Kluyveromyces lactis: one gene and its partner. The protein of the gene in region 2 purifies or fractionates together with the protein of the main gene of each other region. This does not show direct contact. Links are inferred from orthologs where the notes say so. Each region holds a gene or a part of one and is shown on either strand. Other genes may lie near its edges.

Region 1 (7,830 bases), on a different chromosome or scaffold from region 2:
GGAATTATGTGAACTGTTGCCGTTTGTGTTGTGATTAGTGTTACCAGAATTACTATTACTATTGTTGCTGTTGTTCTTGGCTTTGTACTTAGAAGCTTTATCGCCCTTTGGGTTTAAATTAATAACTCTTTCACCGACTTTTAAATGTTGAGCATCGATGGCAGCGTCTCTTGCAGGTTTTTCTCTGAAATCAACCACAGCGAACGAATCTTGGAATGAGGTTTTTACGACATCACCGTATTCTTTTATTAGAGCTCTTTCAAGTTCGGATGCGGTCAACCCATTTGTGTTACCCACGTATACTGGGTAGAAACCGCTGCTGTTTTGGATGATAACGTCGCCTATTGGTTTCGATTGCTGCTTGCTTTTCTTGTTTGACTTGGTGAATCCGTTTGGAGGTGGACTTTTAGACTTCTTTTGTGGAAGATCTACCTTGATGTAGTTTGTAGTTAGTTTAGATGTCTTGTTGAGTTTGCCTGCCCAAGTCATTTTCACTGGTTCAGCCTTTGGGGTGACTTCTGTTTCAGGAACCTCTTGTGGGGGCACCGATTCAGAACGGGTTGTCGTTGAGGTTGGGGTGGCTGATGCTGAAGTCGCTTGCTCTTTTGGTTGTGCTTGTGCTTCGTCTTCCTTGTCTTCTTTTTCTTTTTCTGCAATAGCAGCAGGAGCAGTAGCTGGCGCAATCGCCTCATTTTCCTTAGGTTTAGTTTTATTTACTGAAACGGCTTGGGGTTGTTCCACTTTTGTTTCCGTTGGAGCAGTAGAGGGCTGTTGCTTCTCAGTTGGAATTGGCTTGACAATCTCAACCGGTTTCGCTGCTGCCTTTACCACTACTGGAGAAACAGATACAGGAACAGAAACAGGAGCTGCGTCCCCGTTGACATTTGGCTTCTCATTCTCAGCTTCAACAACAACAGCAGATGGTGGTGATACTGGCTGGTCTGGGTTCACTAATGGAGCAAGGTCAGGAATGAAACGAATGATATCGTTTTTCAAATCGTAGACTTTACTGTTATACTCTGCTGGTTCCAGGATAAAGCACTGACAAAATCTGTAAGATGGTGAATCCGTCCAGCATAGCTCCCCTAATATCAATATCAGAATCGAAGAACTCTCGTACCCAGTAGATTGCACATCACACGAATCAATCTTGACCTTCAAATCCTGTACACGCTTGCTGTTTCTGGTAAAGAAATTGTTGATGTTATCCTTACCAATCAACTTGACGGTGTTTAAATAATCTTTGTCATGCTTGATAGGTTCATTATAATTCACATGGGTCAATTCCGCCGTGGTAGAATATAAACACGACAATTTCGATGGATCATTATGCATACGTTCATAGTACGTCCTTAGGAACGCATATCCGATCTCTTTCACATCGTAAGTGGTCATATTTTCCAAACCAAATGTGATTGTATCAAATTAATCTAAACAGGAAAAAACACACTGGTTCTTGTAAAAGAATTCAACTATTCTTTGATAACTCTCAATTTCAAACCGATCGCGGGTATCAAAAAATCAAATTGGAATGCTAAAGTGTATGAAATGAATGCAATACAGTCAATCGTTGTCAATCAGAAAGACCTTTGAATGAATTAAAAATAAAACTGTCAAACAAAAAAAAAAAAAAGAAGGGAAAAGCACGCTCTAATAACGCTCTAACAACGTTTTAATCCAAGTGTATTAACGGTGGATATTCAAGCAGGAAAGTATAGGGTATACTAGAATACAATAACAAAAAAGTATTAATTTCCTATGGGTGCTTTTTTCCAGACTCACGGGAAATTTCAGCACTACGAACACCGTATATGTGCCTCACGCTTCAAACTTATCGCTAAAGATTAAAGTCTGGTTTCTAATGAATGCATGAAAACCGATAAGCGAACCAAATAGACACCCTAACAACAAGAAACGCCCCTCACAAGCAAAGTATGTGCATGTTTGCATCTAGTGATTATATGTAAAGAGTCAATTTTCAAAATTTTTTAATGGAAAACTCGTCAATCATCTTATGAAATCATGCCTCACGAGATGCCAGGTGAATGAAGTACACAGGTTGCGCTCTTGCAACCTGTGGGTTTCGCACTGGTCAGCATCAGTTCAGTTCAGTGACGGTGGCTAGTCAGCCACCTTTTATACCCTATTTTAAGAATGATTGTGTATGTATATATATATATTCACATACATAAATGCATTATTGATGATACTCTATATGAAAGGCTGGCACATAAAAATCACATATATTACTCCTGTGTGATTCCGTAGATCAGGTTCTTGTAGTAACTGAAATCTGTTCCATTGCGTAGTTTGTACAAAGACAATTTACCGAGTTGGGTGTATGCCAATAGTGCCAAGAGACTTTGTCCCGCTGCGCTGCTGAACAATGGGAAGATCGGAATCCCCAACTCGTCAGCCAGTAGTTCTAGTGTATATTGCTGTTGTTGGTTTTGTTGCTGTTGCTGTTGACTTTGTAATAGATGTAATGGTGGTGGATGTGGGTGTTGTTGCGTTACCTCATGAACTAACTTGTTAATTAGGTTCAAATCGTACGACGTTGGTATGTATTTCTGAACCCACCATTCGAAGTCCTCTTTGTTGTTGGGCATGTTTGTGTTCATGAGCCTGTTGATTAAGAACCCGTAATCGTATGCTGCATGGTAACTGATCCACGTGACCTCATCGTTCAACAATAACCCGGAATCCATCATCAACTGAGCAAACTCGTCGAAATCAACACCGTTCTGTTGATGTCTCTCCAAGATGACACCGGATTTCTTTAATAGTTCTAACGATTCCGAATTCACGGTCTCCTTTGTTACGTCGAAATGGAAGTTGAATTGCCATGTGGATGGGAAGTTGTCTGGTTTATTCCCCTGTAAATCGCTTAACGAAAGTCCAATCTGGATTGGGGTTAGTAGATCCACGTTGGATCTCATCGTCTGGTAATGGTAATCTGTCTTTGAGCGGAAATTCCCAATGGGTCTCGCTATCGTACCGACAAACTCGGTGCTTATAGAAATAACTTTGTATTGCTCGATCATTTTACGGATTATGGCAAACTCGAAGTTTACGTTGTTTTGCCACACTTCTCTGATCAAAAGATGCGCTGGAGACGAGATTGGCGTATGAGATGCATTAGGTAATGGTGTTGTATCAAGCCCGTTCACGTTTCCCATTGCCTGTTGTTGTACCGGCATTGGAAATTGCATCTGCTGTGGAATCGTATTGTTATTAGAGTTACCACCGGAAATGCTGTTCTGCATCATCATAGGAACTTGCCCATTATTCGGCAACGGCATTTTTCCCGGTTGCTGCTGCTGCTGTAAGTTGTTTTGCTGCCCAAAAGCACTGTTTACCACATCCATCTTCTGTTTCAACAAGTACGAATTTTGAAGACCCCCATTGTTCTCAAGCCCATGCAGCACATGTGGTTGTTGCGACTGTTGAGGCATCATACGAGTACTATTCATAGAAGGGGAGAAAAGCATCCCGTTCATCCCAACTGGCCCTTGCTGCTGAACAGCGCCCTTCCCGAAAAATTGCTCCGAATTTGGCAATCCTCCGAGCTGACTATTAAGAGATTGCATTAAAATTCTATCGTACTTACTGGAGTAGTCCTAAATGACAACTCTTAAATCAGAATTGAATCGTATTCCAACCATATATGTCTCTGTCTCTTCCTTATCTAATGCTAAAGGCTTTCCTGTTTCGTTCCTCTTTGGCAGAAACAGAATTTTCGAGGGAAATGTCATTGTGTACGGTGTTGATATTACCACTGGCACCACTTCTCAATGGACAGTGGACCCGAATGGGTCCATTGTCCAGTGTTTCTGCCCCTGATCTGCATGCTTCACAACGTTCGGTGTTATCCAGCCTTTCTACTATTTATTTAATAAATTTCTATGTGCAAGACTTAGCCTAAGTCATCCGATTGATATTAATGTACAAAAACGATAGATCCGATAAGATTGTATATGGTGTGTCTATATATAAAGCGATGCCCGTGTCTGGAGAGAATTAAATATTGAGGAAGTGTTTGGTTTATTCCTTTTTGGCCTTTTTAGAAACAGGTTCTTCTTGTTCCTCTTGCTCCTTCTCTTCCTCTTCTTGATCTTCTTGATTTTCCTCTGCAGGACGTTTCTTATCACCAGGTTCCTTTTCCTCAATCTTGTCCTTCTCTGGTGGTGGTACGAACCATGGGATCTTACCTCTGTTGAAATCGTTCAAGATTTGTTTCGATACCCCGCTTTCATCTGGTTCACCACCTTTCAATAGTCTACCTTGCTTTCTTGCAATCATTTCGATGAAATCTACAGAGTCTTTCCATCCGGAGATCTCATAGGTTCTTTCCAAATGTTGTCTCTTACAACGTTTTAGAATACCTGGAATGTATTGTTCAGGATGCGAAACGTGTTCAACTCTTACCACACCTCTGAATAGAATATCCTCTTCACTGTCCTTGCTGGATGGCGGTACAATACCGGGACAATCGATTAAAAAGATTCTCTTCATCAAAGTTATGTATTGCCACACCTTAGTTTCACCAGGAATAGGTGCCACTTGACAGACCTTCTTTTTCCTTAGAGTGTTGATGATTGAGGATTTACCGGTGTTTGGATATCCAATGAACCCAACAGAGATTTGATGTCTGTCCTTATGCAGTTGTGAGAATTGACGTAGAAGTTGAATTAACGAACCCTTACCAAATGAATTGGTAATAGAGGCATGGAATGCCAATGTGGGACGTTCCTTCGATAGATGTTTTACCCATGCTGCCTGTTGAGAATCAAAAATAGGGAAAATCGTGTTAGTAAAATTGTAATCACATATGTGAATCAATAACCAATTATGCTTTCTACTGGGGGTTGACTCCATGCTGTATTGAGTATATTAGTGGTGATGTGAGGTTCTTTACTACGAGCCATGGCATAATAATTCTTTTCAGATCCAAAGCTCAACTCTTAAGTTCCTCCGTACCCGAAATAAAAGCGCTGATATATCCTCAAAACGAAGATTGTTCAACTAGGTTTCAACCATGACTCCATCAAAACGATGGATAGATCGAGGGTGGGTAGTATTGCTCTTCCAAAACTGTAACAGGCCCTTCTGTATGTGTAAGTTGTACTAGAATGTACGCAGAAACACCCTGACAAAGAATTTTGGTATTCTCAAGATACTGTGGTATTCACTCCCAGTTAGAAAGTATAATCGGTTAGTAGTAATCACTGAAGATTAAAAAGAAAGTTTAAAACATACGGCAACCCATGTAGGAACAAGATCACACTTGTTCAAGACGTATATCAAATGTTTATGAGGAGTCTCATTGGTCATGTAATCAGTCACCGATTTACAACGAGTCCCCAAAGGATCTCTAGCATCCAATACGTGGATGACGACATCGGAGGAATCGATAACCTTGTACAATTCGTTCCAAATACGTTTCGACTGACCTTTGTGGAAAATGGCTTCCTTTGCTGCCTGCGTCCAACCGTCTTCTTCCTCTTGCTTACCCATAAGCCCCAGAGTAGAATCCAATTCTTGCTTTTCTTCAAAAGTCTTATTATCGGTAGAAGTACTTGAAATCAACTCTTCCAACGACGACGCAGCGATTCTTGGTTTCTTCCTCTGAGCCTTAGGCCCAAAAGTTTGTTCAAAGGGCTCTGTCTCCAAAATCTTTGCCGTTGGAGATTCAGCGGAATCCTTTTCGTTCAACAACGACATCGGAAGTTTATTTCTTCTCAATAGCACCTGATAAGAATCACGCTTGTTCTCGCCCAAAGCTTCTCTGAAATGGCTCAATGAATCCTGAGAAATAACTCTGGTATTACCAAACCATCTACGGTCAGGAGCCACTCTTGCTGTTGGAGCAGCAGTATCCTGCAACGGAGCAGCCTTGATAATGTCACCCTTTGCATTACGAACAGATCTACCACCTTTGTACATGTTCAAAAACTGCACTCTCTTGGTGTCCCTGTAGAAATTCTCACCCTTCACACGAAGGTTACCATCCTTGGTATTACCTTCGCGGATTCTCCTTTGCTTTTCCTTCTTACCGGTACCCATTGTGCCTTGGTATAGATTTCAATTAGGTTTCCTTTGGTTCGTTCGTTTGTTCGTTCTTTGTGGTAACGAACACGTTCAATTTCGATCGAAAACTCAAACAGATGGAAGAATAAGTAACTGAATGTCTCTTGCCTGGACTGAGATCAACCTGAATCGAAACAAACCACTGATGAACCTGCCTTTGTTCCTGTTCCAATTCATGAGATGAGATGAGATGAGCTGGAAAATTTTTTCTTTTCACTTTTTCTTACACTATGGGAATGAAAAAGAAACCTGATCTTTGACCATGGGAATGGCAGGCGATGAGTTGTACTCTCTGTAGGGCTTTTGGCTTGGCTATATGCTTTATATATGTGTTATATAGTCATCTTAGAATAAACTATGCATGACATCGTTGAGTGCTTTCGATTGCGGTTGGGATTGTCTCTGAGAATCTGGAGCAGATGCTCTTGTCGAAGCGACTTTCCTCTGTTTGAAAGTCCTGCGAACTTCTTCATCGACCTGCTGTGATTCTTGTTGGTTACGTTTCTTGCTCTGTTTCATCTTGTTGACCATCTTTGATTTCTCTACGTTATGGATGAACTCTGCGTTCAACTTGTTGGCCTGTGAGATTTCCAATTGTAGCTTTGCTTGTCTGATATCGTTTTCTCTAGCGATTTGTTCTGTCAAATCGGCCCATTTGAACCCGGGCAAGTATTTAACGTTCATGACGTCGTCATGGTAGAAATTTCCCTTCTTACCACCGATAATATTACCGTTTAGAGTCGATGCGCACAGTTTAGCGTCCTTCTTTCTGATAAACTCGGCCCAACCTTCTTCAAACATCGTTTTCTTGTTCCCACCACTCTTGACACGCTGCTGGTGCTTGTGCTCCTCTTCACGTTTCAAGAACAGACGGTCCACTTCACCGAATCTTGTGAGAATCTGCCTTAGCTTGGCTGGTTTCATGTACGGTGGAACCCTCGATAGGTAAACCACACCGGTCTTGTGTTTCGTCTTCTTATCGCTCTTAAGCTTTTTGAGTCGTCTCTGCTTTTCTTTCTCTATCTGCTGTTCTGTGAGTTGTACTACCTTATCCTCCGGTTCTTCTTCATCCTGTACTTCCTCGTCCTCTTCCTCTTGCTCTTCCTCGTCCTCTTCTTGATCAAACTGAATCACATTCTTCTTCGCATCCTTCCCAGTGATCAACACTTGGTTGTCCTCTTCTTCGTCTGACGCAAAATCATCCACATCGCTGTACTCCTTGCTCATCGTGTTATTGTTGTCCTTAGTTAACCTGCTGAACCTTGTGGTCTGTTGTCTCTTCTCTCATGTATATGGTTCATCTCATCTCATCTCATCTCATCGCTTTAGTTCCAAATTTTTCAGTATGGCACTCACTGTACAGAAGAAATGGGAACCAATCGTACTGGACGACGGACCGATACCACAATGAAGTAACGGGTCTGTAGCCGGTGTTTGCAGCCTGTATGGCCGGAGATCGCGAACTTGATCCATGTCTGCTCTTGCTGCACGCTTGAGCAGCTTTCTCAGTGAGGTGTGCAGGTCTTACATACATATTCTATATAGAAACGGCTTAAAACTACGTCAAAGCAGGAACCTCCCCACTCTCTTGGCGTAGTTCCCTCCGCTTTGCTACCAGAGTTGCCATTGCCATTGCTCATTGCCATTGACATTGCCGTTGTCGTTCCACTGTTATCCGGTTTGTGACAACTGGTGACTGGATTAATAATAACCCGACACGAATGGCAAGAAACCGGAAAA
Region 2 (8,150 bases):
AGTGGCGGTCCTCGGGTTCTGTTTGAGCCACGTACCGTGGCTCACCCTAACGTGAAGTGGGACACGGGCGAGATTTGCCTAGATCTTTTGAAAGATGCATGGACCCCGATATATACCTTGCTAGATGTTGTTGGAGCTATAAGAGATTTGTTGGCAGACCCTGGTTTGGACTCGCCACTAGATCTAGACATTGCCCAGATATACGATGCTGACTATGAAGCCTACGTGCAGATTGTTAGGTATAGACTTGAGGAGGCGCGGTTGGCACGCGTTTGAGTACGACTTTTACGTAGAAATACACAGCAACATGGCTGGATTTTTCATTTTTCCTTGCAGTGAAATTGAATAGGAATGATTGAAAAAGGATTAAATGATGGAAATGATGCAACTTATATTCCTTTGTACATGTTTTATACACAAATGTATGTTACTTTGACTTAGTACTTTCTTTTTGCCTAGCTTCCCTATTGTTCGCGGGGTGGAGACACTTGATTATCGAAAGAGAAATGGCTAGAAAGATTACATGGAAAGACGTTGGGGTTAAGGACGGGTTCCCATTAATTTCACCTGGGTTCGCTACAGAATCGGGGAATCAGTTACTATTCAGTAGTGGTTGTGTTGGTACAGATCCTGTTACCAATGAACTACCTGAGGATTTGGAACAACAGGCTAGAAATTCCATGATCAATTTGAAGAAAGTGCTTGAAGTATCTGGATCTTCTGTTGATTCGGTCTTGAAAATCTTGCTGTTCGTTTCCGATGGTAGTTACGCTGGTATCGTTAACAAAGTTTTCAAAGAATTCTTCCCTAATCAACCTGCTAGATCGTGCATTGTCGTTGCATTCCCCAACAATAAATTGAAAGTCGAATTAGAATGTATCGCTGAGATTCCATCCAAGAAAAGATGGTTCAAGTTGTGAAGGCGGGGTTTAGATTTTCCGGGCTTTGCGTTCCAAAAACTGTGGTGGAAAAGCCTATTATATATATGCCTCTATAGCATGTTAATTATACTATATGTTAACGAATATATGTTTAAAGAACAGACTTTGCTGGGAAATTTACGAATGTTCTTAATCCAATCTATGCCATAATAACTGAAAAGCAAATTCAATTACCATGGCACAGGGTGAAAGTACAAGGTGAACGGCGTGTAGTGTCCGAATCAAGTAAGATGTCGAATAAGGTTGCTGCGATGTGAAGAGCATTGAATTGTAATAATTAGGAAGAAAAAAATAGAAGGGCACCGGATGAGACTTGAGCCTGCAGCTTGTTTATGTGTATATTTGTGGTATCCGATTGATAAGAATTAATGAGTTTTCCAAAGTTAAGACCAGCTTTCCTCTAAAACGGTGAATTGAATGATAGGTTTAATGTATGCAGCGATGGGGTAGGATCAGTCCATTCCCAAAATAAAGTGCATTATTTCAGCTTCCACTGCTGTAGATACTCTTGAACCACTTCTTCGTATTGATCTACCGACTTCTCGTCGGAAAGTTCATCTGTCTGTTTTGGTGGGAACTTCAAGGTCATCTTCTTATCCTGTGGTTGATCCAACTGATAAGGTTTCAAACTTGCAGATACTTTATTAGGTACATCGTTCCATTCAGGGTAGAACTCCATCCCCATTGCACTACTGGACCAAAGAGCGCTTTGTAACAACTTGTTTGGTATCCGTGGATTATAACGCCACGTCCCGTTCACGCCCCCAGATAAGATCCCTCCGGTCCCGTTGGGACCGGCCATGAATGGATGTTCTGGTTCGGATGCGAAAGCTGCCTTAGACTTTAGTTTACCTCCCCCATTCTTCTCCCTTTCCACTTCTAGTTCCTTCACTTTCGCTTGGAATAGCGGGTTATCCCTCAGCGGAGACACAATAGGCCTGTATCCGCTGAACAAAATGTCAGCCGTGAGTTCTTGTGGCGCAAGAAACCTTGTCGTTGGCACGCGAGGAAGCTGTCTATACATTTGTGTGGCTTTGGACTTTGGAAATGGCATTTTCCTATGGTTGTATTATACTTTTTCGATGCTTTGATGCTTTCAACTAGATAGTAAAACCTGTTTAGATTCTTATTTGTCCGACAGTACGTTATCAGACCTTGCTTTTAAATAGTCTGACAAGAAAACACGATATTTCCGATAAACGATTTAATCCCCTGTTTCCTCTGAAAATATTAATCCACCGAGCTTTAGGAAAATCACGTAATTTCACATACTTAAATACTTAAAGCAACTAAGTAATCAATTTCGAGACGATAATCCAAGCGTTAAACCCTTGAACTATATATACTCATTTTATATATGTCAGATCAAAGGATGATGAAACCGCATATGTCATACGTTGCTCACCGAGTCAATCCGACTCGTTTTCACACTATGTCACTATGTGTCTAAATAAGACTTCACACACCCCTGGTTTTTCTTGTGTAAGACTCAAACATTCTGGGGGAAATAGCGGGCAAACCTTCGGGTACCACGCGTGTTTCTAGCTCAGTTTATGGGTGAGAATTGAGATTAGCCAAATTCTGAAAAACTAAGTAAAGAAATGCAAAAACCGGCTAACGGTATATGCAGTGTTAGCTGGTGCTCTCGGCGATATCGGATCAAGGATTGGTATCTCGGGGCGGGTGTGTGGGTGTATTACAAATGTTTAAAGGAATGTGATATTCACGTGAATATCACGTTACTGAACTTTTTTGGAGGAACCCATCTTTTTTTTTTTTTTGAAAAACACATTTACAGATATCAAATGTTATAATACTATTATAGTTTATGTTCTAACATGAGATGAGGTGGGATGAGAGATCGAATGAAATGAAGCTGGGTGTACTTTTAGAGGATTGAGCTGGACTTAACTGAGTCAGTGAAGAGGAACGAACGGAAGAGCTGCTACTGCTTACCCTGGTATCGGTCGTTTGTTTTGTTTTAAGACTCACTCTTCTGGACTATAGAGAAAACCCTTTTCTCTAGCGCCGTGTAATTTGCATACGCATTCCAATTTACCATGCTACAGGAAAAGAGTTCTGTTCAGCGATTATTTTTGGCCGATTCGGATGTTGATGAGAGCGTACTGTTAGAAAAACTCGTCATTGCTCTTTTTACCACGGTTCCTGGACAAGCGGTTGTCACACAATTGATTAATGATGCCAAACGAACAAATGACGTTGATGGGGTTGAGTGTCTGATACGAATGAACGATCCCTACTGGGTGGCACTTTTCGGTACTTGGGCAACTGATAAGCATATTTTGTCATTATTTCTAGGGTGGGTTTTAAGGAATGAAACGGATCATATCGATTTAGAGAGGTATTCAGATCAGTCGTTTAAAATGGCTATGAGATTTCTTCTCACGAATCAGGACCCCAAATTCACTGCACCACTATGGGATACATCCAACATTTTACTAGATTATTTGCATAATGCTAAGCCTTTGATAGAAAGTGTTCTTAAGAAACTTGACGGCTCGCAGTTTTTGCAATGTCTAATGAAATACAACCGATTGTATGAATTTAATGGTTCTTACCAATGGTTTACCCCTCCGCAGTCCACATCACATGCAGAATCTCCAACTACAATTTTAGAACGTAATTCTACTTTTTTATCTACTCTAGGGAATTTTGGTAATGATATGGTTCGTGCTCTCTCTCAGTTGAAAACTGGCGATATACGGCTGAATTCACTAGAATCATACGGAAAGAATTCTGGGCATAATAATCCACCGTTGTCAAAACAAGATGATCACAATCCGTTAAACTTGAATGGCAAATCTGATCGATTTAATTTGTTTTTTAAGCTTGGGTTACACAAAGAGCCTCATCCACTCCTTGCAGAGCAATTTAACTCACTTTGCTTATTTGCGGATCCCATGACTCAACCTCCTCCAAACGATTCTCATATAATTTCATTGGATTTATTGCATGACCTGTATCTAGGTTCTTTGACTGCTTATATTGTTAAACTGATACCCAATTACCAGAAAGTCTGGAAAATTCATTTGAGCGCAAATTTGGAAACTATTACATTGGCTATTTTGCAGATGTTGCAGATTTGGGATTATAGATCTCTAGACAATTTGAAAGATATCCAAGCAAGAAGCCCTGATGCATACCCTAAATACATGACATCGTGGATCCCATACGATCTTTCTCCGCCCGAAATGGAAATTCTTTATATGATTGCAGGATTATCTTTCTATTCGATGCACAAGATGCACTCTGATAAGCCGCCGAGGTTGAACCCATTCTTACCTATGATGCTTCGAGCATGGAGAGGTTTAAGTTCAGCATTAGTGTTAGGTTTGCAAATAGATAGGTTTGAGGAAATGCAGATGCTATATGGTACTCCAGTAATTGTTAGTGCAGTCATTCGTGGAGCTTCTGCGTTGCGCTCAATTATCGCAACGATTCTCAACGGTCATGTGGATGAGAAGTTGCACGATTTTAAACATCAACCTTTTGGTGGGTTCATGTCTCCTCATGGAAGGAAATTATGCAACGGGGCTCTTTACACATATGAAATGTATTATTTCGCAGCACTCCTACCATCAGGTATGGATTATGACGAAATTGTTGAATTATTGACTGATATACAAAAAGGAGATAGAATTGATGAAGATGTCAGATATATGTTTGATTATGAGTACTTTGATTACAATGATGCAGATACAAGTAAGCTAACAGATGGTAAGCTTATGTTTACATCTACTAAAAATGAACTCGAACAGAAAAATAGATTCAGAATGCTTAGGGGACTCTACAAGCGCTGCCTTTGCAAGTTTAGTGATGAAGACGACAATGATGACGATGATGACGATGACGATGATGATGACTATAATGGTGAAAAAAGCGTTGTTGGATTGGATGAGAATGGGCAGATCAATGAAGCTGAAACCCCTCAAACGTTTAGCGAAAGTAGCAATGCTGTTGCTTTCACATCTTTAATGACGCACAGAGACTCTCAAAATGATTTCGTTTCTCATCTTACAACAGGTTATGATAAAAACGGTGATGATTGGAGGGATATACCTCGTGGATTAAATCTATATTATATGGATGATTACCAATTTTTGTCTAAGTTGGACAAAGTTTCTCTCTTTGAGTTGTTGAGACGATTACCAGATAGAAACGTAACGTTTTCTCAAGCCTGTACGGTATTGAGAAGTATTGCAACATGTGTGAAGCTAGAACAAGAACAAATTCTACTGAAATTAATTACGGCCACTTCTGCAGAGGTAGATTTGAAAGTGCTTCCTTTTTCTACTGATGAAGTTATTACGGCAATTTTTAATGATGATGGAGGAATTATAAAGCCTTTTCCATTTTCAGGCTGCAATGATAGCTTAGGGTGGAAAATCTTCGATGAGTTGATGATGAGCCATGGGCACAGAAGGCTCTTAATCTATCACTTGACACATAGGTCGTACACTTTCTCGTCCATCCATTACGTGTATGAGTTGTTATTCGGTCTAAGAGGCAATCCTGCCAGGAGTTATGATTTAGAATCGACTAAGAACAAACAATTGGGGATTCTTAGCTGGACACCCACTGGAGAATTCGAAAGGGTTGCTGCAATTGAATTCTCTAGACAAGGAGTTATTGAACTTTCTGCAATTGAGAAAAAAATGTTGCTACAAGAATTTTTCGTGGGTGTGTCTTCAGGACTGCTAGGTGAGTATAATGATGCGGGTTTTGAAGCTTTTTCAATTAAAAATCCTTCAAAAGTGTATGTAGATGATTATGGTGAGGAGTTCTTCTCTGCAACATCGCGTAAGGCTGAGATGTCTGGGAAAGTAAAGATGGTGTGTTTCATTTTAGAAGAAGTATTAAACGATAAGGAATTCGAGTTTGTTCCACATGAAGATTACGTTTACGAATTAAAAAGGTTTTTGATGCAATGGTCGACGTTTTCTGCTGAAGCATGTTCCATGTATGCTCTTTTGAAATCGAAGGCTTTAGGGAAAGTTCTTGATCTAGGGACCGAGGGGTTAGATGATCGGCCAAATACTGACCCTGATGATCAGCTTTTGCCAGTAGATTTTGATAAATTAAAACTAAGTGACATAGATGACAGATGGGATACGGAGACTGATACAAGCATTGAGAATGGTGATAAGACGTCCATTATGTCTGAAAGGTTCTCCAGAATGCTACCAGTTCAATCTCTTGATGGACAGCCTGTTGACAAAGTTTTCCGTCACCTTCTTCAGAAATATCCTTTGACTGAAGGAACTCCTATTCACGGAAGGATAACTTTGGAGTACCACGATCATATTCTGCCACTGGACATCAGAACGCATCAATCATTGCATAGAGAATTTTTGGCGGTCTTTGATATTGATTACTTAGACATATTAGAAGCTCGGCAGCAAGAAGCAGAGGAAGAGTGTGATGAAATGTCTATTTAGAATACTGATCTCGTAGTATTTCTTTCAGAGCGGCTAGTTTGTCTTTGATACCCAGAATATAGTACATAATTTCATTTTGCATGTAGGAATTTTGAAGATTATCAAGAATAAGTAGCGCGTTCTCCAATTGAAGTAGTTGAGTTTCTAACTTAAAAGAGTCCGACGGTGTCTCTTCTAGCATCAACTGCGATAACTTTTCCGATATCGGAGGAAACCGAAGTTTATTTTTCATCATCTTTTTGAATAATTCAGTGCGCTGTAGGTTATCCATTCTTTTGTAATAGGCGATTACCTTGGAAGCAAACTGTTCTTGTTCTTTCTTGGTAAGAGTTTTATTGATTTCCAGTTCTTTGAAAAGAGATTTATTTTCTTTCTTGATATTAGAGAATAGGGTTTCAGGAGTGATATTCGCTTTTGAAATAATGTGTGCCAAGTAGTGATACTTTGTTGGTTCTAGAGTAACGTCTGAATCTTCTTCATCTGAGTTTTCAGCTGAATCTTGTGCATTATTTTCATTATCATTATTTGAATTATTGAGCTGTTGAGAGCACCACGTTTGAAATAGTTCATCCCGTTTGTCATTAGAAGTAATCAAATAATAGCGTGGATCATGCATTATCCGCTTTGCTTGGATCGACCAAGTTGAGTAAGGATCTAGTTGAATTTCATTAAGTAATTGAATGAACTTAGATTCTATTTCCGTGTTATTCAACGACGGTAGCGTATCCTCTTCTTTAACATCTATAGAAGATGGATCATTCTTTTCTTCTACCTCTGATTCTTCACCAGAATCATCTGATGAGGAAGAGTAACCAGAAACTAAAATATTACTCGATTCGGATTTATCTTCCGTGTCCACGTTAGAATTTGTTACTTGTGGTCTCTCCTCAGTGATATCGTTTTGTTCTTTGTCGTTACTGTCGAGTTTTGCTTGTAAAACATCTCTGATCTCTCCATAAACGTCACGGTCATTTCGAAGATTGAACCCTCGTGCTACACCTATAAGCAATGCAAGAAGAGATGTATCAACTTTATCCAACAAAGCTTTACTCTCATCATCCGCCAGTTTGAATTGGGACACATTAGATTCATCGTTGTGAAAGAATTTGGAACCATCTTTACAAATCACTAGGTTCCAGTAGTTTCGTAGAGGTAAACAGAACACTGGCACTCTCAATTCCTTCATACCAGCTTGCTGGCTTCCGAACTCTTTTGGTTTTTCCTTTGTGGATACCTTGGACCTCGTATTGAAGTAGTAGAAATTCCCCGAAGGATCTTTAAATCGCTTCCATTCGCTCATACTTGATTCAGATAGGAACAATGGGCTCTCCGCCAATTTAGTTAAAACTTTAAAACTTTACTTTCACAGACAGGTGCAGCAATGCAAATAACATCTCTGAGACAGGTCTTCCACCTCGTACACTGGGTTGTTCTCACTAAGAAAATCCATTGAAGAGCCGTTAAACAAAGGTTCGTTCTTTTATTTTTTTTTTAATGTCGACCTTTAAAATGAAATAAAATACAATCAAAGTTAGAAGAAATCCAGTGGCAAACCTTTGAAACTAGAGATTGAACAGCAATTGGATTCAACCAGATAGTTAAACTTGTAGCTAAAGTTCATCGAAAGTAGCAGCAAGAGCATTTCTGTGAGCGTACAGGTAATTGGTCTGTGAGAATATAAAGAACAACTAAGAAGTCAGAACAGATGGGGTCCAGAAGATACGATTCGAGAACAACCATTTTCTCGCCA

Evidence for each region. Proteins that work in one complex are often made in the same cells at the same time.
Region 1: the proteins of CAF130 (region 2) and POP2 purify together in Saccharomyces cerevisiae (affinity purification with mass spectrometry; 4 studies listed by BioGRID). This does not show direct contact. The link is inferred for Kluyveromyces lactis from reciprocal best matches to the Saccharomyces cerevisiae genes CAF130 and POP2.

What each region holds. Positions count from the first base shown.
Region 1 is NC_006039.1:1,667,401-1,675,230, forward strand, and holds POP2 (CCR4-NOT core DEDD family RNase subunit POP2), read right to left. Parts: upstream 3,591-7,830; coding exon 2,247-3,590; downstream 1-2,246. Other genes in the region: BRE5 (Bre5p), read right to left, coding at 1-1,395; putative GTPase NOG2, read right to left, coding at 4,045-4,779, 5,260-6,066; RNA-binding ATPase activator ESF2, read right to left, coding at 6,436-7,317. UniProt on the Saccharomyces cerevisiae protein: Acts as a probably catalytic component of the CCR4-NOT core complex, which in the nucleus seems to be a general transcription factor, and in the cytoplasm the major mRNA deadenylase involved in mRNA turnover.
Region 2 is NC_006041.1:357,245-365,394, reverse strand, and holds CAF130 (CCR4-NOT core subunit CAF130), read left to right. Parts: upstream 1-3,001; coding exon 3,002-6,400; downstream 6,401-8,150. Other genes in the region: PEX4 (E2 ubiquitin-protein ligase peroxin 4), read left to right, coding at 1-276; KLLA0_E04005g (RidA family protein), read left to right, coding at 507-920; SUE1 (Sue1p), read right to left, coding at 1,420-1,995; URN1 (Urn1p), read right to left, coding at 6,393-7,700; PRE9 (proteasome core particle subunit alpha 3), read left to right, coding at 8,106-8,150. UniProt on the Saccharomyces cerevisiae protein: Acts as a component of the CCR4-NOT core complex, which in the nucleus seems to be a general transcription factor, and in the cytoplasm the major mRNA deadenylase involved in mRNA turnover.